7 linked regions of the Tribolium castaneum genome follow. The protein of the gene in region 5 binds, or shares a complex with, the protein of the main gene of each other region. Links are inferred from orthologs where the notes say so. Each region holds a gene or a part of one and is shown on either strand. Other genes may lie near its edges.

The links.
Region 1: Brr2 (region 5) and Srrm1 share a complex: the UniProt entries of both Homo sapiens proteins name them as parts of the minor spliceosome. The link is inferred for Tribolium castaneum from reciprocal best matches to the Homo sapiens genes SNRNP200 and SRRM1.
Region 2: Brr2 (region 5) and mdlc share a complex: the UniProt entries of both Homo sapiens proteins name them as parts of the minor spliceosome. The link is inferred for Tribolium castaneum from reciprocal best matches to the Homo sapiens genes SNRNP200 and RNF113A.
Region 3: Brr2 (region 5) and Usp39 share a complex: the UniProt entries of both Homo sapiens proteins name them as parts of the U4/U6-U5 tri-snRNP complex. The link is inferred for Tribolium castaneum from reciprocal best matches to the Homo sapiens genes SNRNP200 and USP39.
Region 4: Brr2 (region 5) and uncharacterized protein LOC661495 share a complex: the UniProt entries of both Homo sapiens proteins name them as parts of the minor spliceosome. The link is inferred for Tribolium castaneum from reciprocal best matches to the Homo sapiens genes SNRNP200 and SNIP1.
Region 6: Brr2 (region 5) and l(2)37Cb share a complex: the UniProt entries of both Homo sapiens proteins name them as parts of the minor spliceosome. The link is inferred for Tribolium castaneum from reciprocal best matches to the Homo sapiens genes SNRNP200 and DHX16.
Region 7: the proteins of Brr2 (region 5) and Prp8 are in contact, whole or in part, in a cryo-EM structure (PDB 7OS2), measured with the Homo sapiens proteins. The link is inferred for Tribolium castaneum from reciprocal best matches to the Homo sapiens genes SNRNP200 and PRPF8. Residues at the interface, in NP_054733.2 of Homo sapiens: Pro543, Met544, Arg545, Ser546, Thr570, Gly571, Thr589, Glu591, Lys592, Ile595, Arg624, Arg728, Lys729, Glu773, His786, Ala787, Thr814, Glu837, Tyr992, Thr1008, Ser1010, Ile1012, Leu1041, Glu1042, Arg1043, Val1044, Pro1045, Ile1046, Pro1047, Val1048; in NP_006436.3 of Homo sapiens: Trp2073, Arg2074, Ala2077, Ile2078, Ala2081, His2084, Asn2109, Lys2113, Tyr2168, Glu2171, Met2172, Arg2266, Leu2268, Gly2269, Phe2270, Gln2276, Arg2287, Leu2298, Ala2299, Asn2300, Glu2303, Glu2307, Arg2310, Pro2311, His2313, Phe2314, Leu2315, Asn2316, Phe2317, Ala2318.

What each region holds. Positions count from the first base shown.
Region 1 is NC_087398.1:3,111,837-3,116,109, reverse strand, and holds the start of Srrm1 (serine/arginine repetitive matrix protein 1), read right to left. Parts: upstream 2,801-4,273; 5' UTR 2,505-2,800; coding exon 2,490-2,504; intron 2,393-2,489; coding exon 2,303-2,392; intron 2,253-2,302; coding exon 2,130-2,252; intron 2,081-2,129; coding exon 1,910-2,080; intron 1,859-1,909; coding exon 1,521-1,858; intron 261-1,520; coding exon 1-260. UniProt on the Homo sapiens protein: Part of pre- and post-splicing multiprotein mRNP complexes. As a component of the minor spliceosome, involved in the splicing of U12-type introns in pre-mRNAs. Involved in numerous pre-mRNA processing events.
Region 2 is NC_087396.1:11,857,785-11,860,831, reverse strand, and holds mdlc (E3 ubiquitin-protein ligase RNF113A), read right to left. Parts: upstream 1,741-3,047; 5' UTR 1,719-1,740; coding exon 1,601-1,718; intron 1,509-1,600; coding exon 1,294-1,508; intron 1,239-1,293; coding exon 766-1,238; intron 723-765; coding exon 545-722; 3' UTR 501-544; downstream 1-500. Other genes in the region: probable chitinase 2, read right to left, coding at 148-226; vih (ubiquitin-conjugating enzyme E2 C), read left to right, coding at 2,049-2,152, 2,205-2,625; Syx16 (syntaxin-16), read right to left, coding at 2,815-3,047. UniProt on the Homo sapiens protein: Required for pre-mRNA splicing as component of the spliceosome. As a component of the minor spliceosome, involved in the splicing of U12-type introns in pre-mRNAs. E3 ubiquitin-protein ligase that catalyzes the transfer of ubiquitin onto target proteins.
Region 3 is NC_087394.1:36,569,871-36,574,147, reverse strand, and holds Usp39 (ubiquitin carboxyl-terminal hydrolase 39), read left to right. Parts: upstream 1-1,477; 5' UTR 1,478-1,621; coding exon 1,622-1,697; intron 1,698-1,744; coding exon 1,745-1,783; intron 1,784-1,834; coding exon 1,835-2,095; intron 2,096-2,405; exon of another isoform or gene 2,406-2,649; intron 2,650-3,110; coding exon 3,111-4,240; 3' UTR 4,241-4,270; downstream 4,271-4,277. Other genes in the region: facilitated trehalose transporter Tret1, read left to right, coding at 81-1,450.
Region 4 is NC_087397.1:1,785,578-1,788,867, reverse strand, and holds uncharacterized protein LOC661495, read left to right. Parts: upstream 1-1,290; 5' UTR 1,291-1,484; coding exon 1,485-1,753; intron 1,754-1,800; coding exon 1,801-2,444; intron 2,445-2,493; coding exon 2,494-2,726; 3' UTR 2,727-2,790; downstream 2,791-3,290. Other genes in the region: beta-PheRS (phenylalanine--tRNA ligase beta subunit), read right to left, coding at 145-324, 377-716, 765-925, 981-1,036, 1,089-1,146; MED4 (mediator of RNA polymerase II transcription subunit 4), read left to right, coding at 2,948-3,015, 3,066-3,290. UniProt on the Homo sapiens protein: Required for pre-mRNA splicing as component of the spliceosome. As a component of the minor spliceosome, involved in the splicing of U12-type introns in pre-mRNAs. Down-regulates NF-kappa-B signaling by competing with RELA for CREBBP/EP300 binding.
Region 5 is NC_087397.1:20,466,825-20,470,324, reverse strand, and holds part of Brr2 (U5 small nuclear ribonucleoprotein 200 kDa helicase), read right to left. Parts: coding exon 2,267-3,500; intron 1-2,266. UniProt on the Homo sapiens protein: Catalyzes the ATP-dependent unwinding of U4/U6 RNA duplices, an essential step in the assembly of a catalytically active spliceosome. Plays a role in pre-mRNA splicing as a core component of precatalytic, catalytic and postcatalytic spliceosomal complexes.
Region 6 is NC_087398.1:7,190,233-7,194,516, forward strand, and holds the start of l(2)37Cb (pre-mRNA-splicing factor ATP-dependent RNA helicase DHX16), read left to right. Parts: upstream 1-1,484; 5' UTR 1,485-1,645; coding exon 1,646-1,998; intron 1,999-2,046; coding exon 2,047-2,363; intron 2,364-4,284. Other genes in the region: T-cell activation inhibitor, mitochondrial, read left to right, coding at 1-415, 463-563, 671-814, 864-995, 1,043-1,277. UniProt on the Homo sapiens protein: Required for pre-mRNA splicing as a component of the spliceosome. Contributes to pre-mRNA splicing after spliceosome formation and prior to the first transesterification reaction.
Region 7 is NC_087394.1:7,714,791-7,718,290, forward strand, and holds part of Prp8 (pre-mRNA-processing-splicing factor 8), read right to left. Parts: intron 3,226-3,500; coding exon 2,972-3,225; intron 2,919-2,971; coding exon 2,311-2,918; intron 2,258-2,310; coding exon 1,931-2,257; intron 1-1,930. UniProt on the Homo sapiens protein: Plays a role in pre-mRNA splicing as core component of precatalytic, catalytic and postcatalytic spliceosomal complexes, both of the predominant U2-type spliceosome and the minor U12-type spliceosome.

The sequences.
Region 1 (4,273 bases), on a different chromosome or scaffold from region 5:
TGGAGCGGGAGCGACGTTTCTCCTTGTCCTTGGAGAGGGAGCGCGACTTGCGATCCTTTGATGCTCGTGGACTAGACGACGAACGGGATCTCGAATGCGATTTGCTGGGTGACTTGGAGCGTGAAGCCGACTTTGAACGGGAGCGAGATACTGATTTCGAACGGGAACGGGAGTTACGCTGCTGTTGCTGCTGTTTGCCGTTGCCGCCGGCCATGGACATCAGCTTCGCTTGAAGCTTTGACACGGGCTGGGAACTCTCTCTAGACAGTAAAGCCAACGTTAAACCTGCCCACATCGTTTGCAAAACGGGCAACAAAAATAATGGAATCAAGACGAAGCCAACGATGCATTTTGATTACACAAAATGTCCGAACAAACATTAAATACATCGGTACAACCCATCACATACAAAAAAAAGGTAACGCTATTATTTAAACTGTTATTCTTCCTTACAAGTGGTTTTTAATTTTTGTAATTATTTTATACAATGGACGATAAAGTTTTATAAAACCAATAAGACTGAGGTATTTATTTATAGCCATAATATAGTTTATATAACTGACTTTTTTTAATAAAAGTGCTTGGACGCAAGCTAAGACAAAAAAACTTTAAAAATGTTTTCTTGGCAAAGAAGAACACCGGGAAATAAAACTTCTAATACAAATATAAAAAATCTATTAATAAATTCGTGTTTACCAGGCACTGGCACGATAATGATTAGTGTGAAAAAAAAAACAAAATAAAAAGTGATAAATACCAACGTAATTTTGTAATAAAAATAACATTTATTTTAATACATAATTAAAAAATGTTTTAATAAAGCTACAGAAAAAATATTGTACGTTACTCTTATGAAAACACAACGTATCACTCACCCACGTAATGCAACATATCGTTTTTAATCCTTGTAACGTAAATAACCGTTTGCATAATTTTTCGACGTAATTAAAAACAGATTACAAAAAACCTGTAAACTAATATCTATTCGAATAATTTTAAGAAAATTATTTGAATCACATAACAAAGTCAACTTGCTCACACAACTACGTCCATTTCCAATATAACGTTCCATCATTAGATGATTAAAGCTGCATCATCAATGCATGTTGACAAAGAATGGTTTTTATTAAATACATACAAAATCACAAAAATTAATCCACAATTATTTTAATACGTTAACAAATAAAAATAAAATCAATCCCAAAACGTGCCAAAATAGCGCAAACCTTAGAAAACTTATTAAACAAAAAATCCACGCAGTATTAAAATGTGCAAATTTTTTCACTTGCTTAAAATACTTTTAGCCAGTGATATAATCAAGAAAGAAACCAACTTTCTCTAACGTTCTTTATTTATTTATTCAACGAATTTTGCGCGTCATAAAAATAATAACCATTTTTAGCATCTTGCTGAAATTGTGTCGTAACACGAGTTACTGAAGCAATTTACAAAACTCACCACTTACCACAACGTGCAATTAATTTCCGCAACAAATTTAATCTATCAGTAAACAAACTTACGAATTATGTTTAGAATTGGCAGTACTGCTTTCCAATTTGGCAGAATCCTCTCTGCCATTATTCTCCCGTTCGTTGGGACTTGCGTTGCCGTTGTTCCTCAAATCATCAATCTTGATCCTGGATCTGGAACGGCTCCTTGACCTCTTGTCCTTCCCTCTATCGTTGTTCCTGCTGGACCTTTCAACCGACCGCCTCCTGGGCCGCGACCTTGACCGTGATCTCCTCCTAGACCTGGACCTGTCCCTATCCCTGTATTTCTTCTCCTTGTCGGACTTTTCGCGTTCGCGCTCTTTTTCTCTTTCCCGGTCCCGAATCTCACGCTCTTTTTCCTCTTTCTCCTAATATAACACAAGCGGTGATACCACCAAAAGTATGTAATTTATGCAAACCTTCTTTTTTATGATTTCTTCACGCTTCAAGTCCAAGAGTGAGTCGGGGATTCCGGACGGGTTCTCCTGTGCTGAGATCAAGAGCGCCCACAGCTCGGCCATGAACTCGCGCGCGTTTTTCCCATGCAGAAACCCCGTAAGATTGATTTGGATCTTTTTAGGATCGGGAAACTGCAACGTAAATATTTAAGCAAGCGAGTTTCAGTTGGCAATGTTGTACCTTCTCATCTAGTTGATTATAAACAAAATCGACGACGACGTCGTCATCAATTTTCAAGATTTCCGTTAATTTGTCTTGGATCCACGGCTTGATGACATCAAGTTTAATTTTGGACATATCAACCTGCAATTGAGCGCTGCTTTATCACGGTACCTACGCTTGGCTTAATTTACCCTCTGACTCAAACAATCGCTGAACTTCATCTGCTTCAGGAGCTTTTTTTCCTTATCGCTGAAGCGATTGTCTTGCTCGGTGGTTGTGCCCTGAAACGAGTTGTTTACAACAATAATCCCTTAAAATATTTGACAGTTCTATTAATAAACACCAAGGGGGGACGTAATCCACTTGCAAAAAACTCACCGTATACATCATCATAGAGTCCGGAAATGGTCCTTTCGTTGCAAACTAACAAAAACCACTCAAATTACTAAATCAAGAAACGAGGAACTGTAGCACAGACGCCGGTACTTGACTTCACGATATACACATAATTGAATTCTTCACATGATTTACTATAACACTAAACTACAGCGGTTAATGCAAACTCCCGATTAACGCGACTCACAATAAAAAAATCATCGTTTTTTACAATTAATCGCGCACTAAATTCTACAAATCCATGTTGCTTCCAACAAAATGGCGTGGCGTCATGGCGTCAAATTTGTTGATAATTCCAGATTCTGCCTTACCACCGCAGCTCTACCGCACCGACCGGGCCAAGCGCGACTTTAAAATCTGAGAACTCATTCAAACCTATTTTAATAAAAGCCGCTTTATCGCAAAACTACAACAACGCCCAACCACGTATTTTACTAAAAATGAGGCAAAAACGCTACTTTGTGCAAAAATAGCACACAAGAGCAGCCCAGTTGTAAAAAATAAAATTCCGGAAAAATTCCCAAATGAACTGCTTTTTGCCGGTCATTCACTCCCAATCAAACGCTCTAAACATAAAGTGCTAGTCAAAAAAACTGTTTTGTTCACGAAATCAAATCCCAATTGGTATTTTTCTTAGAACTCGAGAAACAAAGTTGTCTTCAGCACAACATAATTGGGGGCCCAGATGAGACAGGTAGCCTCCATTGAACCGTAATGGTCCGTCGACTATTAGCCAGTCATCTGTTATAATAGGAAAACAGGGTGTTCTCCCACTTAGCAACTGTTCTTGTTCTTTAATCCCTCCCAGGTACAACATTATATCATTTCCGTTTCACAAGTTCAAGAACAACCTGGTCTTCAGTCTACTGGCACACTTCAAAGAAATTATTTCGTGCAGCACCCGACCAAAGTGCACCAGTGACCACAGTGCCAGTTAGTGAAAAAATAAAGTAGAAAAAAGGTGGTTCAAATATGGATTGGCAATTTTGAGTGAAACGCACCGAAAATTATTGTTTGCTAGATTTGCAATTTTTCGAGTCTCATAAGTGCCAGAGTCAGGACAGGATGGCCATTAGCAAAAATACGGTTTTTGCGGTAAGTTTGCAGGGGCGCAGGGCTCAATTCGCGCGAGTATGTAGATTTACCGATATTCAAAATATTTGCCCTCTGCAGCCCACATAAACGCCGAAGAACAGTTATATGATGAGGTCAATGATCAGGTATCGCTTTGAGTAGGTACGTACTGGACAGGTGGTCAATGTAATGCACGGGACAGTGTCGGGTTTAGATGATTTTACCCATCATTGACGGTTTTTTGGAAAACCGGTGATGTCATCATCTTGTTGAGTATTTGGTCAGGTATTTCGTATTGTCTGAGATGACTAGCCTTCGGAATGAGGTTGAGATGGTAATTAAACGGTACTTTTCGTGATTAATTTTTAAAAGACCTACAGCCGAAGACGAAATTCATGTCACGAAGTTTCCGTGCTTATCGAAGGCTTAATTAGACCTCATCGATCGCAATTACCTCTTCGAGGGTATAGTATAGTTGAAAAAAGCCGCTAATTTAATTATGTCGTGCGACTTTGTTCGTGAGGTGGGATAAGAAACCAGAAAATTATAATACGAGGTACTTGAACCGCACGACGAAATTGTAATTATAACAGGACAATATAAACAAGTAAAATTTAAACAAGTTTTGAGAAATTGTAAATGAGTGAAAATGCGCACTTTGTATTTCTTTTATCGCCCCAAGTCGTTAACAC
Region 2 (3,047 bases), on a different chromosome or scaffold from region 5:
AATATCATCGTTTCACCGTACGGTTTTTATTTAACTGTTGTGTCACATAAAAATCTTATTAACATAATGCATTACCACACAATACTGTGATAACTCGGTGATTAGAAAAACAATTAACGGTGATTAGGAACCAATTGGATTCCTTACCAGTAAGGGCCTTAACTTCATCCATGAAAGTCACTACGAAAATCACAAAAACAGCACAAACATTTTTTAGTGATACCATCTTGGTATTCTCGCAACTTTTGCACAAATGAGAGATGAACTTTATATTTCTTGTACAATATATATTACAGTTATAATGGCAAGGTAGCAGCTTTCTCTTTCGCGCGCGCGTTTTTGGTACTTTTGAGACAGAGAAAGATACAATGAATGTGTCCAGTTGGGGGTTACCCGCTTGACTGTTACTATACCTTTCACTCAGAAGCCGCACCTCACTAAGAAGTAGCGTCTTCTCTGTCTCACTCGCCTCTTCACGTGTGGGATTGGAATAAAACCAGTTCAATTTTTTATTTGTTTATTTATTACACAATTTACAAAAACATTAATCGGAATCCGAATCTGAGTCATTCTTTTTCTTAGGATTATCCTCTCGATTCAGCCGCGCTATGAGTTTCCGCGCGGGGTTGAAAACGCCACTCGTTTGCGTGTTGCAGACGAAGCACCTCGTCGTCTTCTTGTACCTCTCGAGGGCGCACTTCTCGCAAAAGTAGTGTTTGCACCTAAAATTAACTGTAATAAAGACTCGTAAAAGGTGCCTCCTACTTTGTGACAATCGGGTCCACGAAGCTGTCCCTGCAAACGACGCATTTGAACGGCAAATCCTCTTCGTCCGAGTCAATCTCGTATTGTTTATCCTCGTCGCTTTCTTGCCCATATTTGCCTTCCGCCCATTCCCGCTCAAGCTGCCAGCCGTGTTTGTAGTCACTCCTGTCGTGCAAAAATTTACAACTGTCCCCGAAACCGCAAAAGCCTGTTTCTTTGTAGTCCTTGCAAATGTCGGGTTGGTAGTCCCACCGGACGGTGGCACGCAGGTTTGCGGGGGCTCTGATGGGGCCCTTCCTGACCATTCCCGAACTGGCGTTGCCCGCAGCCGTGTCTTTGGGCTTGTAGTACTGTGCGTAGTTGTTGATGCCTCTGTAGACTTTATCGTCTTCCTTGCCCTCAAGATTTTTATTAATTTCTAGCCGCTTCTCGAAAATGGCTTGGGCGTCACGATCGCGCTCAGTTTCAAACTCCTTTAATTAAATAATTATTGATTGGATAATACTAGTGAGTGGTTAAGTGGCTTACAAGAGTCGCCGTCGCTCCCTGATCTTGAGGTCCCTCAGGCATAGCGGACCGTTTGGACTTGTAACTAACCATAATTTCCTCCTCACTGCTTGAGTAGTTCTGCTGCTCATGTTCTTTTTGTTTGGCTTTGCTTGTGGTTTGGAAGTTGGGGTTTGCTTTTCCCCGACGCCGGTTCGCCCGCTTCACCGCAGATTCGTCCTCACTGTTGGACTTTTCTGAAGAAATCGCAAACAAACATAACCTTTAAAACACGAAAACTAAGTCTACAACAACAGTGAAGGTTAATTCACGGATTTGGGGTACCCACCTCCTTCCGAACTGGATTTCTGGCGCTTCCGCGCCCCTTTATTTTTTATATTCCGTTTTTTAAATATAAAAGTGCAACTTTCATCAAGTCCTGTTTTAACGTCACGCGGATCATCCATCTTTGACAAGTGTCAAGTGTCAGTGCTGACGCCAAACAAAATATCAAAAATTTCAAAACTCAATAACGCCTTTGTGGTGTTAGACTTGAGCCAAAGCAATTTAATCTAATTTGAATTTGTAATTACACGTTTTCCTAGTGCGTCATAATGGTAATAGCAAGTGCTTGAATGTTAATTGCTTTCGCGGTTCTGTTGGTAGTTATGGGTGACGGTTCCTGATTGGCTAAATTTGAAAGTGCGTTGACGTTTGGCATCCATCTGCATCGTAACGAATTTTCTACAAATCAATTAAAGTAGAATTAGGATAATTTATTAGTGAACGTGGTAAAAATGGCCCAAAATTTCAATCCGTTCGTGGAGCAAGTGCCCGAGAACGTAAAGCAGGCCGAAAGTTCCAAGAAGGTATCGAACGATAATCACGCAGTGACAAAAAGGTGGGCAAAAAGTGAGTCTAAATTGGGGTGCTAATCTTTGTTCGATTTGCAGATTGCACAAAGAGCTTATGACTTTGATGATGTCCGAAGACAAGAGCATCTCGGCGTTTCCCGAGGGCGACAACCTGTTCAAGTGGGTAGGTACCATAATGGGGCCCAAAGACACGGTTTATGAGAGTTTAAAATATAAACTAAGTTTACAATTCCCGAACTCGTACCCCTACGCGGCCCCCGTAGTAAAATTCATCACGCCTTGCTTTCACCCCAACGTCGACACCAGTGGGAACATCTGCTTAGATATTTTAAAAGAGAAGTGGTCGGCGCTTTATGACGTTAGAACAATTTTGTTATCAATTCAGGCCTTGTTAGGGGAACCAAACACGAGGAGTCCGCTGAACACGACGGCCGCCGACAAGTGGAAGAAAAAAGAAGAGTACAAAAAGCTGGTGTTAGAGTCGTACAAGGAAGTCTAAATTTGATCTCGCATTAGAAAAATTTCAGTTATTTAAGATGTCATTGTGTAATAATAGACTGCGTACATATTTGTGTTATATAATTTTTACTATTTCTCGTGTGTTATGATTGAATAAAACGATCAAGTTTCAATAATTTATTTACATAAATAAATATTTGGCTTAGCGAATAAAAATACGTTATCACGACTAGGATTTCACGATAATCAAGGTAAAAAATAAAATAATTGTGGTTACAGCCAATACAAGGATCGCGCACATCTTGCGGTTTTTCCGCTGATAAGCGTCTGCCTTTTGCAGCTGTTTGAAGCCTTCGTAGACCTGGATCTGCGTCTGTTCCACGTTGTAGTCAATTCTGTCCAGAACTGTCCCCTGGTCGGCGACCATCTGACTGAGATCTTTGAAAATTTCGTTCAAGTCAA
Region 3 (4,277 bases), on a different chromosome or scaffold from region 5:
TGAACCAGAAACCCCTAAAAACTTAACGACCTGAATCCAATCCTTACAAAATCGAGAAACTCACTTTCGCTTCCTCGCAGGCACTTTGGCCATCGTCACCGACGGCATGATCTACGGCTGGTCGTCCCCCAGCCTCCCCCAGCTCAAAAACAACGAGACTTGCACCTTGTGCATTGACGAAAACCAGGGCTCCAACCTGGCCGTCATGCCCCTGGTGGGGGCGGTCATCGGCTCGCTCACCGCCGCCACCATCGTCGACATCCTGGGCCGCAAACGCACCATCCTTGCCACCGCCGTCCCCTTCTTCCTCTCCTGGATAATGGTGGCTTTCGCCCCCAGCATCGTCCTCCTCTACATCGCGCGTTTAATCGCCGGCATCGCCGACGGCGTCACCTTCACCGTCGTCCCCATGTACATCGGCGAGATCGCCGACCCCCAGGTGCGAGGGATGCTCGGCTCCAGCTGCTCCGTGACCTGGATCGCCGGTTTTCTCATCATAAATGTGATAGGGTCGTACCTTAGTATTAAAACCACGGCACTTGTGTCCTCAATTGTGCCGGCAATCCTATTTATTACATTCTTGTGGATGCCGGAAAGTCCGTACTATTTGTTAATGCGTGGGAGGGCGGACGAGGCCCGGAAATCACTAGAACGCCTCAAAAAACGCGAAAATGTCTCCGGGGATTTGAACCGAATCCGGAACGCAATCCAGGCTGAGGAAAAGTCGCACAATGGGAAATTCGTCGACTTGTTCCGGGTGAAGAGCAACCGGAAGGCCGTTTTCATCATCGGGGGGCTCCGGGGCTTCCAGCAATTGGCGGGGACCACGGCTATTGCCTTCTACACCCATGAGATTTTCCAAACTGCTGGGGACCACATTTCCGCACATTACGCTGTGATGATTTACTACTCCATCCAGTTGCTCCTCACAATGTTCTCCTCGAGTATTGTGGATAAGGCCGGTCGAAGACCACTGTTGATCATCTCAATGGCGGGGTCGGCGTTAGCCCTTTTTGTCGAAGGGACCTATTTTTATCTTTTGAACGAAACGGACATTGATACGAGCTCATTTTCGATCGTGGCCGTTGTGGGGCTTCTAGCTTTTGTGATAATTTTCAGTTTAGGGATGCAGTCAATCCCGATTTGTATGTTAGGGGAGTTGTTTCCCACAAATGTGAAAGCTTTTGCGCTTTGTTTGGCCGATGTTTACTTCAGTGTGATGGCCACAGTGGCCTCCAAGTACTTACAAATAACTAAAGTAGAATACGGACTACATGTCTCGTTTTACGGTTTCGGGATTTGTTCGCTACTTGGACTAGTTTTTATTTATTTCTTTGTGCCTGAAACGAAAGGAAAAACCCTCGAAGACATCCAGAAAAAACTGAGAGGGGAAGTCGAAGTTTGTGATGAACGAGGCGCCGAAGAAGAGAAAGTTAGTCTCAAAGCGTAATTTTATTGAATAAAGTACTTATTTTTTTACAATTTCGAATTTTATTGCATAACCAGATTGACATTATTATTGACACCGTTGACAGTAAATATAACCTTAAAGTTGCAAACACCACACAAAAACAGTCCTAGCGTGATTTAATCAAAAATTAATTAAAAAAGCGTGAATACGATGGAAGCGGACGATGAACCTGCCATGAAAAAGCCCAAGTTCGAGGAGCCCCAAGCCAAATCAAACTCCTCACAACGTAAGTACACATAACCTCGAAAACGCAACTGAAACGTTCAATTTTAGCCGAAATTGAGCCCCCTTCTGACAATTCGGACCGGAAAGGTACAAAAATCAATCGATTAAAGCGCCCTGTTCTATTATTGTCTATTCCAGGTGGGAAGCCCCAAACGCATCGACTGTGCCCCTATTTGGACACAATCAACCGGCAATATCTCGACTTTGATTTCGAAAAATTGTGCTCAGTGTCGTTGACTCGCATCAACGTTTATGCCTGTCTTGTTTGCGGAAAATATTTCCAAGGTAGAGGCACAAACACACATGCTTATACGCATTCGGTGGCCGAAGGCCACCACGTTTTCCTCAACTTGCACACCTTGAAGTTTTACTGCTTGCCCGACAATTATGAAATAATAGGTAATAAATACTCTCAATTGTAGTTTTGAAATTAAGTTGGCAACATTTTTCTTCAAATTTCAACAATTTTACCCAACTCACTTGATTCGAGCTGAAGTTTTACACCGAATTAGATTAAATCGTTTCAATAACGCGAATGTTTGAGAGGGCGCAATGCCAGTAACGCCCCCCTTCAAAAATAAAGTGAAATCTTCGTTTTGTCGCATTTTTCCGATTGGCATTTTATTGAATATCGTTTTGTATGCGTTTTCAACCGAAACTAACTCGAATTAAACCGAGTAATCGTGGAAAAAATACAAAAATGACTAACCTTAGCGTCGTCTAACTGAATTTTTTCAAAACCGGCTTCCAGCTTGCTGCTAACACACTTTGATAGTCTACACACGTCACATTTCCGATAAAAAGTCGATTTGAGTCGTTTTTGCCACTTAACACGCACAAAACACCGGTTTTTCAACACGCAAAAGCAAAAGGACGCGCACTTCGGCAGACAAGCTTCACTCTAACGCTGATGTCACGCCAACGGCACCTCATTGGCTGATTTGAAAATGACACTTGAGCGCGCGTGATTTGAAATTCGCGCGAAGTCTTCAATTGGGAGACTTTTTACAAAGATTAGGATTTATACGTTTTTACAATGTCATAATTCACGAATTTTGTAAAATAAATGCCTGTTTAGCTCAAAAACATGCATAATGGCTTAAAAAAAAAGGAAAAATGAGATAATTTGTGGCCTGATTTGGTAATTTTGCGGCTTGTTTGGCATTTCTGCCTGAAATAACAAGTTGGGATCTTCGGAAAAGACAAACATTATGTAATTATTGAATCCGTTTGGTGGTTTTTCGGTTAATTTTTGTGTTTTTTGTCTATTTTCGATAATCGTGTTGTCAATTTCTGAATTGAAAAAAGCAAATACTAGGAAATGTTCGGGGAAGTATTCGGTTTCAGTAATCAGTGTTGCCACTTAATTTCAAGCTCCAACGATTTTTTTCTAACAAAATTAAATTACTCACAGATTCGTCCCTCGACGACATTAAATACCTGCTCAACCCCACATTTACCGAACAACACATCAGTACATTGGACGTTAGCACAAAAATGTCCCGAGCAATTGATGGCCTACTTTACATGCCAGGAATCGTCGGTTTAAACAACATAAAAGCGAACGATTACTGTAATGTTGTTTTACAAGCCCTTTCACGTGTTGTCCCTTTACGTAATTACTTCCTCCGTGAGGAGAACTACAGCAAGATAAAACGCCCCCCAGGTGACTCCTCTTACCTCCTGGTGCAACGTTACGGTGAACTGATGCGTAAATTATGGAACCCCCGAAATTTCAAAGCCCACGTTTCGCCGCACGAAATGCTCCAAGCTGTGGTTTTGTGGAGCAAAAAGCGCTTCCAAATTACGGCACAAGGCGACCCCATTGATTTCCTTTCGTGGTTTTTGAACGCACTTCATCGGGCACTTAACGGCAATAAAAAGAAAAACAGTTCCATCATTTACCAGTCATTCCTCGGAAACATGAAAATTTACACCAGGAAAATACCACCGACCGAGCTTGACGACAGACAGAAACGCATGCTTTTGTCAACTCCAGAGTACCAGGAGATCATCACCGAGTCACCCTTCTTGTACCTCACCTGCGACTTGCCTCCACCGCCTCTCTTCATCGACGAGTTCCGGGAGAATATCATCCCCCAGGTGAACTTGTACCAGCTCCTCACCAAGTTCAACGGACAGACCGAGAAGGAGTACAAGACTTACAAGGAGAATTTCCTCAAGAAGTTTGAGATTACGCGTTTGCCGCCTTATTTAATCTTGTATATTAAGAGGTTTACGAAGAACACGTTCTACGTGGAGAAGAATCCAACCATTGTGAATTTTCCGGTTAGGAATGTTGATTTTGGCGAGTTTTTGACGCCCGAAGTTAAGGCCAAACATAAACATACGGTCTATGATCTAGTGGCGAATATTGTGCATGATGGAGAGCCGGGGAAAGGCACTTACAGGGTTCATATTTTGCAAAAATCAACGGGCAAGTGGTACGAGATGCAGGACTTGCATGTGACGGATATTTTGCCGCAGATGATTACGCTGACGGAGGCTTATATACAAATTTATGAGCTAAGATTAGAAAAGTAATTTTTTACGAATAAAATTCTATCACCGGAATTTTTGT
Region 4 (3,290 bases), about 19 Mb from region 5:
AAGTTGGTATAACACAGAAAATGAGCCGCTGAATTCAATGGAACAAACCGCATTGCTCTACGACTTTTAGTTTTCGAGTTATGAATTTTTTTAATGAATAAAATTTTCCACTATGGCATGTTTCAATTGAAACGTTCAACTCACTTTAGTCAAATCAGTTGCCGTACATTCAATCAAAACATTTTTGGTGTTGAGTGTAATTTTGGAGTGATCCCCATTAATAATCGGCGGAAGGGATAAAATAACCCCATTACTGTCCAAAACGAGTGGATATACAGGGCTGTCTTTGATGATGTGCAAGTATTGTTTTAGCTGCGCGTGCGCCTGAAATATCACGTGACTGTTGGGAATCCCCCAAACTCGGTCAAAATCTTACTGAATAGAGCTCCATAACGCCGTTGCCGTCACACTCTTTGGTTTGATTAAGTGGTACAAACTTAAACTCAGAAGGTGGTTTAGCGTCATAGGTGAAGGGCCCCTGAACTGTATCTAAATCGTGCGTCCCGATTGAGACAAGCGTGCGTTTGCGGCAAATATTCTGATGCAACTTATCTTGCAAATCAATGAAACTGTTGTAAGAATCTTGAGTGAAGTATAAATTACGCAAAACGGCGCCTACGATATAAGGCCTGATTTTCGCCGTTTCGGGTGTGACGTGAATTTTTTGAATACTGTCTGATGACGGTTTGATACGTTTGTAAACCGGCGGCTGAATTCTACAAAAACATTACAGTGCCAAAGTCAAGGCAAAACTAATGACTCACTTCCCCTGAAATATTTTAATTCCTAATGAAATGCCTTCAAGACACAATAAATCGTATCTGTTTGCAGGAATGTCAATTCGATAAATGACTTCCTCGGAGGCTCCCGCCGCCTGGGCTGAATCCTCCCCTTGTTCCTTACTTATCATCTGTTTTTCAGTTGTCTTGAAATTTAGGGCATTATTGCATCATTTTATCGCTTGAAAGATTAATACTTACGACTTCGTCCAGTTCAAGACCGAACTCGAAGCATAAACGCTGGAATTCATCGTCGGCTGGAAATTGCAAATTGGGGCAATAAGGGGGCACAGTGATCAAACAACTTACTGAAAGTGCGCCCAAGGGCTTCGAATAGCAAATTGCGCTTGACACCCACAGTCGGCATTGTATTTTTTATTTACTATCACGTTTTTGTCTAAAAATGAACACGTTTAAAGTGTTTCACAACTGAAAAAACGATGACATGTGCGGGACCTGTCAATGTCAAAAGTTGAGGTTGGGTCAATTGTCAGCATCAGCGATCAGTTTTCGAGAAAAAACGCCAGTTTTTAAGATTATTTAACAATTAGTCTTCGTCAGAACTATAATCGGAACATAATAATGCAAATTTAATTAATTTTTTCCCACAATATTTTTTTTCGCCGGTTGTATTGGCACACCTGTCAATTGCGAGACGTAGCGTTTCTTATAACCTTAAAGTTACTTCGCCCAAACAAACAAAAAATGGGCTCAAAGAAGAAGAAGCGCGTTTCCAGCAGCTCCAGTTCATCAGATTCAAGCAGCGAAAGCTCCGATTCATCACCCGAACGGCGCCCGAAACGTAAAAGCAAGAAAACCGAATCGAAACCTGAGACTGAAGAATCGCCGAAGAAAACCAAAACGAAGGCAAACTCGCATAAAAAACACGAAACTCCGCCTGTGGCAAGTGACGAGGCGAATAAACAGGCAAAAAAGAGGGACAAAAAGCCAACAAATGAGGAAGAAACCGACAGGTATGATTGTTGGTGGTTTTAAGGGAAAATACTAGTTGTGTTTAAAGGAAACGCAAGCGGAGTCCTGTGCCTGAAAATCGGGACAGGCGGGAGAGGGACGATAAGAGGGTCCGGGACGATCGGGGGCGGCATGACGACAGGAGAAACCGCCCCAATGACCACCGTTCTCACGATAACAGGTTCAGAAACCGGCGTCCTGATTACAGAGACAGGGAACGGGATTACAGGAACCGACGGGACGATAACAAAAATTACCACAACCGGGAGCGAAACAGAGAGAACCATCCAAGGCGGCGTAGCAGAAGCGCCTCCTTTGACCACTCGAACGCCCGTTGGGGCCGCGAGTCGGACGACAAAAAATCCGACAAGAAGGAAAAAGACCAGAAGGAAAAGCAAAAACCGAATTTCGGTCTTTCGGGAAAACTTACCGAAGAAACTAACACTTATCGTGGCGTTGTTATAAAATATAGCGAGCCGCCTGAGGCTTGCAAGCCGAAACGTCGGTGGCGGTTGTACCCTTTTAAGGGCGAAAAGGCCCTTCAGACTTTATACATACATCGCGAAAGCGCCTACTTGATTGGGCGCGATCGCAAAGTTGTTGATCTCCCTGTAGATCACCCTTCGTGCTCAAAACAACACGCAGCTTTGCAGTATCGCCTAGTCCCTTTCACGCGTGAGGATGGCACCACTGGTTTGTGGGACAGCTGGTAGTGTGTTGGGTTTTTCATTGTTTTTTTCAGGGAAGAGAATAAGGCCGTATTTGATTGATTTGAACTCGGCTAATGGGACTTTTATCAATAATAAGAAGATAGAGCCGAGTAAATATGTGGAGTTGTTGGAGAAAGACGTGATCAAGTTTGGGTTCAGCTCAAGGGAGTACGTTTTATTGCATGAGAATAGTAAAGATGAGACACAGGATGACGATGTGAAGCAGGAAGAGCCGGCGGTTCAAGTCAAGAGTGAAGAGAATTGAATTTTGTGTATATATTTTAATTTAGCTTAGGTTTCTTTCAATAAAGTAATTTTTTCGATTAAAATTCCCGCTCTTACGATTTAGTTATTCTCTGGGCAGATGGCATCGCAGTGTGCGCGTTATTTTGACATTTGTGTATTTGAGGTTGTGTTCGAAATAAAAACTGTTCAATTGATTATTTCGTTTAATATTTAAACCCGTGAGTGTTTTTCCCCATCATTATGTCGTCTCAAATGAGCACGAAGGAAAAACTCCTTTACATCCTCGACGATATTGAGTTAATCTCCAAGTACGTCCCCCTTTCGGGTCATTTCGTATGGTTTTATTTGCGTTTTTTAGAGAAATAATCGAGAATTCAATCGCCCCCAAGCACCTCAAGCTTTCCGGCCCTGAATACGCTCAACTGACCGAGCTTTTGGTGGCCAAAAACACCGAACTGACTGAAACCCTTAAACTGGCCGCTGAACAGGCGCAAATCGACAAAAAAATGGACATCTTGAAGGCCGAAGTGGAGCGTCAGGACAACGACATTAACAACTTGCAAAAACAGCTCAAAGAGGCCGA
Region 5 (3,500 bases):
AGTTGTAGATGAGAAATAAAGACAGTTTAGAAATCCCAGACAAAAACAATATAGTATATAGAGCTTAATATCTCAGTTATTTGCCAACGGATTGTTATGAAATTTAGAATGTACATATTTTAGGAGGTGGTCTTTCAATTAGGGTCAAAAAAATGACCTCAAGTTAAAAAATGTAATTTTAAAACACATTTCTTTTATTTAAGATTAAGTCAAACTAGGAAATATAGATGGCCACACAAAAATTCACCAAATCGCTCTGCTGATCCAAGAAAAAAAATTAGGTTTTGTTGTTAAAAACTTAATCCAAATTTTGGAAAGTATTTGGGCAGTCACCTTTTGAAACAATTGATGAAGCATTTCTATGCGGCATTTTGTGTACCATTGAAAAAATCTGTCAAAAGTGTGTGCGCTATCAGAAAAGTAAAACACAGAAATTTCAGTGTTGTTGAAAAAGGAAACAATATTCCTCCATAAAAAGTTTCGTTGAACTTCTTGTGAAATGTTATTCATGAAGTTTAAAGTTCAAAGAATCTTCAATAATTTGAAGACACAGGAAGCGTACGTGAACTAAATCGAATGAGGATAAAATGAAAAGTCGTCACTGGAAGCGAAGCAATAGCTGGGGCTGTAACATCAGCTTTTGAAGGGAATTTAATCAGCAGTGTACGATAAACATTTCCAAACTCCTGAACGTTCAAGTGCCTAAAATTTTTCAGTTGTTCAGTCTTTTTGTCCTTTTTGAACGAATTAAAGCATCCAGTACAAGAAGGAAGTTAAAAATACTGTTTGTTAACTTTGTAAGGATGAGAGATAAATGTGAAATGTCATTTGCGTGACACGTTTGTGCGAGTAGGAGTAACCAAAATTTAGTGGTAGCGCGCATATGTTTTATAGGGACCTTTTGAATTTGTATCCACGTTTAACAGTTTGTTTCTCATTTTTCTTGCAGAACAAACTTCTTTCACAAACGAGTTTTTTCTTACATCATTTTTCATTGATGATTAATTTTTTAATAAAAATCTTAAAAGGCTTAACATTTTAAAAAGGCATGTAAAAATTACGTTTTTAAGACTTGAGTTGTTGCATTAATTGAATTTTAATCTTTACCTTCTAAAATATCTGCATTTTAAATTTCACAAAAATCCGTTAACAAATATCTGACATATCAGGCTCGAAAGTCTTAGCTGAGACACCCTGTATATTTTTTGGTTTTTGATTAACTAAATTTTAATCAGCCCCTCAAACTTTGACTGATGGCTTAAAAATTATCGTTCGTAGACAAAAAATGAATATAGATCACAGATTCAATTGTCTGATCTAGTTAATTTTAATATAAAAACTAAAAGTACTCTTTTACAACAACTAATGTATGTTGAGAAACCAAACTTTCACCAATATCTCAAAAACTGTTTCTAGTGTTGTGGATAAGAGGTAAAAATAGATTGGAAATCTTCAAGCAAACTTCCTCTAGAAAAAATTTTGAGATGATTTGTTTCTCCATTTTGATATTAGGCTCTAAAATGTATTAACTGAAATCTAAATTAAGTCAAATTATTTTTTATTTCTTATGAACGAAATATGATAGATTTTCACTTTTATTAGTGGAAATTCAATAAAAACGCAAAAAGTCACTTAAATAGCCATTTTTGGATATAATCAAAACTCTGACCTACCTGTGCTTCTGTCTATGACAAAAGTCGATACTTTGTTGAAAAATGATGTAAGTAAAAATAAAACGAGTTAGCGAATGCGAATAGTTTTTCTTCCGGTTCCTAGTTGTGCAATTTTTTGTTTTATCAGTTTCTGATATTTTTTTGGTATTTAAAATAAAAATCTATGATCTTCATTACCTTTTTCAATTATTCGAGTTATTCTAATAAGATAGCTTAGCTGTTTTCAAAATATTTAGAGTAGAGAAAACTCAAATTTCCACCTGCCTTTTCAAAGATTGATAATTCGGCCAATTGTAGTAAATACAGGGTGAGTCCATGGGGTGAGCTAACAGTGGGTTATTTCCGAAGAGCAATTGGTATTTTTGGTTGCATCTTAGGACATGTCAGAAGTAACCCTCTATTGAATCAGACTTGAGTTTGGAAATCGTATTTGGGTATTTACTGAAAATTCGCAGAGTGGAGAGACATATTTGTAGTTCTACCTCGATAAGAAAAAAAAAAGGAAACTGGATCCACAATTAAAACCCGTTTTTGAATCAATTGAGTAATTTACAAAACTTGCGCATAAAACCTTGTATGTAACTCATACTTACTTTATCAGTCATCCGATCCAAGAACGGTTTAATATCCTCTTCCTCCGCATGGAAAAACTTATTAGACTGTCCCTCAGACGCAGCATACGTAAGTAAATCAATTGCAGTCAAACGTGATTGTTTCCTCGTCGGTACGAAAACAATAACCGGCTTATGTGGACTATACCTCACCACAGCATTATAAACCGGCTTCGCCATTGCGATAAGTCTCGACGCATTATGTGTAATATTAATCCCCTGTACATGCAATTCCAACGGTACAGGCCTCACACTCGGATGAAAATTAAACGTTGCATTGGCATTACAACCCAACCATTGAGACACATCTCGATAATCCATAAGCGACGCACTTAATGCTATAATCCTGATCGGTTTCTCAATCTGTGAGGAAATATATCGCATGCGGGAACACACAACTTCAATAACAGGCCCATCCTCCCCACCAATCAAATGCAACTCATCAACGATAAACAAATTCACATTTTGGACATTCTTTCTTTGTTTCCATCTTCGCGACAATACATCCCATTTTTCGGCCGTGCTTATAACAATCTGACCTTTTGCCAGTAACTTCAAATCAGTCCCGGTTTCACCAGTTAGGAGCACTACTTTCTTGCCCAAAATTTGCCCAAATTTATTGTGCCAATCGGCAAACGTTAACTCAGCTAATGCATCTTTCGGAACGAGATAAACGCACCGACCTTCCGGGTTTTTATCAAAAAGGCGAAGTATCGCAAATTCAGCGATTGTAGTTTTTCCAGAACCGGTCGGGGCACCAATAAAAATATTATCATCACCGTTGTAAACCGAATTGAAGACTTGCGTCTGAATTGGATTAAACTGCGGGAACTTGTCGTTATACAACGACTCGAATTTATCGTTCCGTAAGGCAGTGACTGGTAAAGGTTGCAAGTCAAGTAGTTCAGTTGGTGGGAAATTCTTCTCTGGTAGTATCAAATGTCGGAAAGAAACTGGTAATTGTGTCTCGGCTCCGATCCATCGATCTGACACAATACGTAAGAAGTACTGAGGTGGCAAAGGTTCGAAAATCGGGACAAAAAATTTAACCAAATGCTCGTCTTGTGAATACTTCGCTTTGAGCAAAAAATACTCATGGTGGAGAATAACCTCTGAATCCACATCTTCCACCAAAATCCAAAACGCTTCAGACGCTCCATGAAGTTTCTCATCCCACTGAAAGTCAGGCGTTATGGTCAATTCAACCTTCAACATT
Region 6 (4,284 bases), on a different chromosome or scaffold from region 5:
CAGCAACATCGATTTTTCGAAAGTGAACGAAAACGACCCGATCTTTGGCCCCATTGTCATGCGCCAAAAAATCAACGAGGCCAAAGAAGCCCTCAAGTTACGCAACTGGCTGGTTAAGAACTACCAAAGTGCCTTAGAAAAACTCGAAGCCAATCGGCCTCTACGCGAGGAGGTCGACCGTTTGCGCAAAAAAATCGCCCAACAGTGGAAGCTGACCGACGTCCGCTGGGACTGCGGCTGGAATGTCACCCATTTTCGGGGCTGTCTGCAAAGCTTTATGTCTCTGGCTGAACAACATCCGGAAGTTATGCACGTTTTGAAGGGCCGCACGCTGGTGTTTGCACCCTTTACAGGGATCAGCCTAGAGGGGCACATCATGCTCAACAGTGGGGAAGTGCGGCACAATTGGCTTGATGTAAGTGAAAATTTGAATGTGGTTTTGAAAGTAATTCTTGACCACAGTTGATCAAAAACGTGAGAAAGCACGACAAAATCCTATTCCGAATTCCTGGTTTTGAAAAATCCGTCTCGCAAGTCTTGAGAGGGATCAAAGTTGGCAGGAGGTAAGAATTCTCATGTTTCACATATAAAATTTAGTCGTCAGTTTTTCTCAGACTTTTGGTTATTATTGATTGGATTTGAATTAATTTAAAACGATTTGTTTTTTCAGAAAATTTATGCCGAAAGTTTTGGCGGGAGAATACGAGCGAAACCTGCAACAAATCACGACTTCTTTAAGTGACTATAGAGGAAGGCGGGGGTTCCCTAAGCAGTGGCCCCAGTCGTTAGAAGAATTTGAGATTGTTGTTGAAACGTATGAATTTTTTTATTTTAATTTAATCATAAATGTTTTATTATTTTAGGGAAGCTGGACCTTTGATGGTCTCTCCCACTGGTCAGTTTATAGTCCCGTCTTCCCTACCTGGATTTTTGTTAGTCAATTTTATCACAACCAATTTAGAACACGCCAAGGAAAAAATGACTGAATATAAAAAGTTTGTGAATGTTTTATTTTGATTCCCGTTAATTGTTTCTATTTCAGCGATAAATACATAGAGCGGTCTTTGCAAAAACAATGCATGGATGAATTCAAGTTATTTAATCTTAGGAAAGATGATAATATAACACCGGATTTAATGATTAAATGCTGTGAACGGCTCTTAGAAAAAAAAATTGATATAGAACAATATCTAAACGGTATACATTTAAACGTAGCTACTTACTACTCTGTTCTTTCAGATGGAGTGGTTTGTATACCTTGGAATTGGAAATTGTGATAGTAGATGCGAAAAAAGACCAAAATTTTCACTTCTTCTAGGTAAAAAAATATTAACTTGTAAAATTATGTGATAAGAAATAAATCTATATTAAATACAAGTATTGGTTTATTTATCCCTGTGTCACAGCCTTTTAATATTTTAATAAATTGGTTTGAATGCAATCACTAAAATCGCATTCTCAAAATTTCGGTGCCACCGGACTTGTAACCTAACCACTTGTCAAGTTTGTTTTGACATTTAGAGGTTATGTTGTTGGTGGAAGAATGTAAAATTCAGTAAAACACTCTTTAATTAAGCAAAAAACTACACATATTAGCGAGGCACAAGTAAAATTTTGTAGTCAACACTTGCTGGAGTGCCTCACCATGGGCAAAAAAGACAAGAAGGGGCGTAAGCGCTACGAATCGAGCTCGGACTCCGAGTCCGTGGACAGTGAGGAAGAAGCTCGTCGTAAAGACCTGAAAGAACGTGACGAGTTCGCTAGTAGACTCAAAAAACGCGATGAAGCCAAAGTCCGCAACATTGTCCAGGCCTCAGACCGGCGCGCTTACGAGGAAGCCGCCAAGAGACTCAAACTGGAAACTGAAGACCGCGAAAAAATGATCCCCGCCTTGAGGGTGCAGTCAAGACGTAAATATTTAGAGAAACGTAAAGATGATAAAATCGCGGAATTGGAGGAGGATATCGCTGACGATGAGTATTTGTTCGAGGAGGAGATGTGAGTTGGTGGAATGATTTTGCGGTAAATGCCAACCTGAGGTTTTAGATTAACAGAACGTGAGAAAAAGGAGCGCGACCGTAAGCGGGAATTGCTGCGGTTGGCACAGGAACATGAAAAAGCGCGTGAATTGGAAAGGGTGCAGCGGTACCACATGCCCAGGGATTTGGGCAAGGGGTCAACAGCGGACTATGTGGAAGTTGATGAGCTGGAAAAGGTGCCCCAGTCGGAGCAGAAGAAATGGGAGAAGGACCAAATGGCGTCGGCGGTCTTCAAGTTCGGGGCCAAGGATTCAGCCAAGAAGGACGAGTACGATTTGTTGCTGGAGGACCAGATTGACTTCATCCAAGTCTTGCAAATGCCAGGTCTCTATTTTTTATAGTATCTTATGATACTTCGTCCCAATAAATGGAACATTAATTGCGTCATGAGCCATGAAGTAACAAAATGATAATTCGTAAAAATTAATTCTGAAAAAAAAATTTCGTATCTTACAAAAGCACAAAAAGCAGTAATAACGTTTCATTTGAGAGAAGGCTAATTAATTGAATATTAGCAAAAGTATGTAGTTTTGTTGGCTAAACGAAAAATTGAGGACTAGAATATTTTCATAAAATTATTACGGCAAAAGAAAATAATTTACTATTTGATGTCTCACAGAATTTTTATTGGAAGAAAATAGATAAAGAATCGTCCAAAATAAGTCAATTTCGGCTAGAATACGGCTTTTCAGCCACTTCTCAAAGAGTTTTCTCGTTTCTAAGCAAGAAATTGTACAAAATGAATGGTTTTCGTCCGAACTAGTGCATACACCGTTCTTTTGAGCTAGAATAAGGCGTTTTCAATCTTCTTTTATGCGTTGTTTTTTTGTTTTTAAGCAAAGAATCGCCAGAAATAAACCGTTTTCATCCAAATTATAACATAAATAGTTGTTTGTTTCCGGCTAAAATAAGCCGTTTTCAACCACTTCTCAAAAAGTTTTCTCGTTTGTAAGCAAAAAATTGTACAAAATGAATCGTTTTCGTTCTAACTAGTGCATAAACCGTTCTTTTGAGCTAGAATAAGTCGTTTTCAATCTTTTTTTATGCGAGTTTTTTGTTTTTAAGCAAAGAATCGCCAGAAATAAGCCGTTTTTATCCAAACTATAACATAAATCGTTGTTTTCGGCTAAAATAAGGCGTTTTCAGCCACTTATACAAGAATTTTCTCGTGTCTAAATAAGAAATTATACAAAATGATTTTTTTTTTCGTTCTAACTAGTGCATAAACCGTTCTTTTGAGCTAGAATAAGGCGTTTTCAATCTTCTTTTATGAGAGTTTTCTCGTTTTTAAGCAAAGAATAGCCAGAAATAAGCCGTTTTCATCCAAACTATAACATAAATCGTTGTTTTCGGCTAAAATAAGGCGGTTTTCAGCCACTTCTCAAAGAGTTTTCTCGTTTCTAAGCAAGAAATTGTATAAAATAAATCGTTTTCGTCCAAATTAGTGCAAAAAAAACGTTCTTTTTATCTAGAGTTTTTTCAATCTTTCGTTTTTAACCAAAGAATCGTCAGAAATAAGCCGTTTTTATTCAAACTAAAAATAGAGAAAAGACAAAGTATTGACTTGCATTTGACCTTTTCAGTTCATAGTAGGTAGATTTAATTAAAATAATTGCTCTGTATTTCTAAAAAGTAGGCATTTATTTTTTTATTTCTCTGTAATCTTCTTACAAGAACCGATTTAGCACCTGTTTAAGAATCATTTGGATACTTTTTCATTAAATAAGTAATTTATAGGTAAATTGTATTGCTGTTTGAATGCTCTCAATTGAAAATATTAGCTTAATAGTTCCATGACAAATAGTTAATGTTGAACTATACTGAGAACGTCTGTGGAGGAGCTGTTCAAATAAACACATGAACGCAAAATTTGAAATAAAATGTTTAAGAACAGTAATTTAAAAATGGTCTTTACGTCACAGATCAGTTTTTATCTTATTTTAAATATTTGTACCCGAGATTAAATAAGTTAAAGTCGATTTATTTTTCTATAAAAAAAGTTACCTTCAAACCGCATGAAAAAAATATCGCAATGAGAATTTTATTTACTAAAAAATGGTAGATGCATAATTTTTTTATACAGGATGCTCAAAAACTGGCGCACCAATTTAATGGTACGTTGTTGAGCAAAATTCGTTAAAAAATTCCTAATCTCATATTTTAGAAAGTCTAGAACTACAAACGTATTTTGTTAATGTCTTCAGTTTTCATTATTTTTTAATGTTTTTATGTTTCTCACTAAGTA
Region 7 (3,500 bases), on a different chromosome or scaffold from region 5:
AGTTTTTATTTTCTAAGTGGCTTATCTTTTTAAACAAAACAGTAATAAATAAAGAGTTGATATTAATTTAAACATCCATAAAATAACAATTTGTTATTTGATTAATAATTTTCCCAAAATCGTTATAAATAATTGTGAATACTTTAAAAACAACAAAAATATGTTAAAGGTCCTAGATGTATTTACTCATAACAGAAGTATTATGAATGATTATTTTATGTAAACAGGTAATACAGAGAAAGTGTATGACAAAAATGAAAAATAGTAAGATTATGAACAAGACAGAAAATTATGTTAAGTAACAATTTTACTATAACACCAAAATTAAAAAAAAATAATTATTATCAAAAAGAGAACACCGTTCTTGTGAAACTAAACTTGATATAGGTTTAACAATTTGTATTTTGTCGTAAGCTTTGAAAAAATAATTTTTGAAATAATTTCAAATTTGAAAGCTCTTGATCTTGCGCACGTCTAGAATTCTTTAGCATTATTATTATTATTTTCATTGAACGAACTTTGTTTCAAACTAATCTTTTTACTCATTGCAAAAGTTAAAAAGCAAATTAGAAAATGATATTTTGGAACGATATTGACAGATTTTGCATAAAGTTAAATCAAATCAAAATGTAAGCAAACGTTGACAATTACCGTGACATTATATTATTATAATTATATTATGTAACCAAAAAATGTAATTTTTCAATGTGTTTTTATTTTTCTACAAGATGGAAGAGCATGTGAAACAACAAATAAAAAATAGTATGGAGAACATAACATAAACTGTTTCAAATAGTTCGTATCTAATAAGTAAATATTATCAAAACTTTGGAACGAAATGAATAACCATTTATAAAATCATTCAATAGGAACAAGACAAGATTTATGCACCATTTTACTCCTGAATTTTGTTGAGACCTAGTAAAAACTATCCCGACCAAGGTTCAAGTAATCAGGAAAGGAAAGGAGACGTAACTTAATATTAAATCTGTAAAACAGTTTTCTGTCCGAACATTAATACCCTGTAGAGTAAAATTTAATAAAGATTTTTTTTTCAGTTTTTCTAAAACATTATTGGTCAAATAACTAACTGGCGATTTATTTATCGTTAATGAAATCAACCCCTAATATTTTTTTCAACTTAATTTGTCAAAAAATGGCAGCATTATTTATTTATTATGGTCTGTCCAATTAAACTAACTAAACTAACTAAATAGTTATACAAAGTGTTGGAATTTAATAGAATTTTAAAACACAAAGAGACATTATAAAACGAAGTGTGTCTTGGTTTTTATAACTTCGATGAAATTTTAATCAACAGAATAGTTGTAAAACATATTTTACATCTTGTAAAAAAATAATGTCTCCCACAACTGTTTATCTAAAGAAAACCTTAAGCTTCTCTAAACTGCTTGTACTGAAGTTATTTTATGTTTTTTAACTCTTCTGATACAAAATATATTTTTTTTACATTATACAAAATTGAAATGAACAAAAATGCATGCCACATGTGTTATGTAATTGAATAAACCCCAATATTTTCATTAAAAACTTGATTTAGACACGCCGCAAGATTGTTTAATAACCTTTTAACTAGCTTAAAAAACAGTTCGAAACTAAAGTAAATCAAACGCCTGGAACACTACATGTTGTCTCTGTTGAGATCACTTTATAACCGATTTCAACCAGTCTATTACCGATTTTTTTTTTGGAACCAAAGCCAAGTTTTGTGTTAAAGCGGATTGTAATTGTTAAGAAATTTGTTAACTAGTATATTAAAATAAATTTCATTCCTAAAAACCTTCATTTAATTTCTAAATGTTAGCTATTGTAATGTTCATTGTATGCAGTTATGTTTTTAATTTCTATTTTTTATAGCAAAACACTGTCCGTATATTTAATTGAAAAAAAATGAACAAAGGAAACTTACTTTCCAAGGAATATTGGCCTTCCAACACCGCCACGCTTCGGACAAATGCTGCAAAATGGTCCTGGCTTTATTCTGTTTGATACCTTCAGGCATCATATCGACAATATCGTGCATAACTGAAGCTCTTAACTCAAGATCGAAGTGAGACTCAACCCTTTGCTTGGTCACAGTTTTAGCAACACCTTTGGAGTGTCTGCCTTCAAACTGCCGTGACAGTAAATTGCCGAGCCAACGTTCAAGCAGAGGTGTAATTCCCCTCATAAAGAACAACCAAACCCTCCAACCTGGAGCCCAAAATCCACAACCTGGACCTTTCCCAACTGGACCCTGTATAAAAATAATTTCTAACTTCCGATTTATAAAATTTCACAAACTCTTACCGTATTGAAACGATAATATACCAAATGTTTCAAATCTTTACACATTCTGATTTGTCTCATCAACTTGTATTTGTATCTGTACATGCCAGTCAATTGACCGACATGGGCAAAAATGTACTGCAAACCATCAGCCAGTTGAAACGCATCAACGTTGTTAAGTCTGTATTGAACGTGTGAGTCTATTATGAGTTTAGTCAAACGTAGAATTTCCCTACACAGATGGAAAGCATTCCCAAATCTGGATTTTTTACGTTCTTTTGTCGTCAAAGTCTTGACAGGTTTCAAATTAAAGTTGTAGTCCAAATGAAGATAATTGAGATTTTTCCGGTGAATGAGCAAGTTGAGCATGTTGTAACCTTGCCTACAAACTTGCAAACCAGCTTCAACCCAGTCAAGTGTAGTAGTTTGGAAAAATTTGGTGGATTTGAATGAACGGAACAAGTAGCGTTTTTTCTGTGCTTTAGGAGGCCGGTGTTTAAGCGCGTTAAGAACATAGTATTTTAACAATTTCTGGTAACTAACGCGCACTTTAACCGGTTGTCCAGGAGGACAATGTTCCATGTACCATGTTTTGACCAATGGTACATCAATGGCCCGGCGACAACGTCCTACAAGTATTAAAATAAATTTTTTCTCTACGTTTAAATAAAATAATGAATACCTGAACGCAAGTTAAATGGACGAGGAGCCCATAACAGGGCAATACCGTTAGCTGTGTTATCTGTATAAAGTGGTGTTTCTTGCAAAAAGGGTTGCACATGTTCTGGTAAAATGTATTCTTCGTCGTCTTCGGGTAGAGGTTCCAAACTTTTGACGGCATGTCGGTGCGAGATTGGGTTTATTAACGGGTCAAAATAAAAGGCTGGGAGATCGGGATCTTCTGTCTTAATGTAAACCACATTTGGGGCGTGATACCTACAAAAAATAACCTATTTCAACAACTAGTAAATTGAATTTTTTATAAAATAGTAATATGATAAAGCCCTTGCTTTACGTATTTTTTTTCTAATGTCAAACATTGTTAAGTCTTCCGCAAACTACAAGAAAAAACAATTTTAATTTATAATAATTTTAATATTAAGAACAAAAGACTTTCTAATGTTCTATTATAAAAATAAAGTCCGTGCATTTTTACACTGTGCTTTAATTGAATTTTTCAAAAATGTTAAATTTCTGATTAGCTCTTTAAC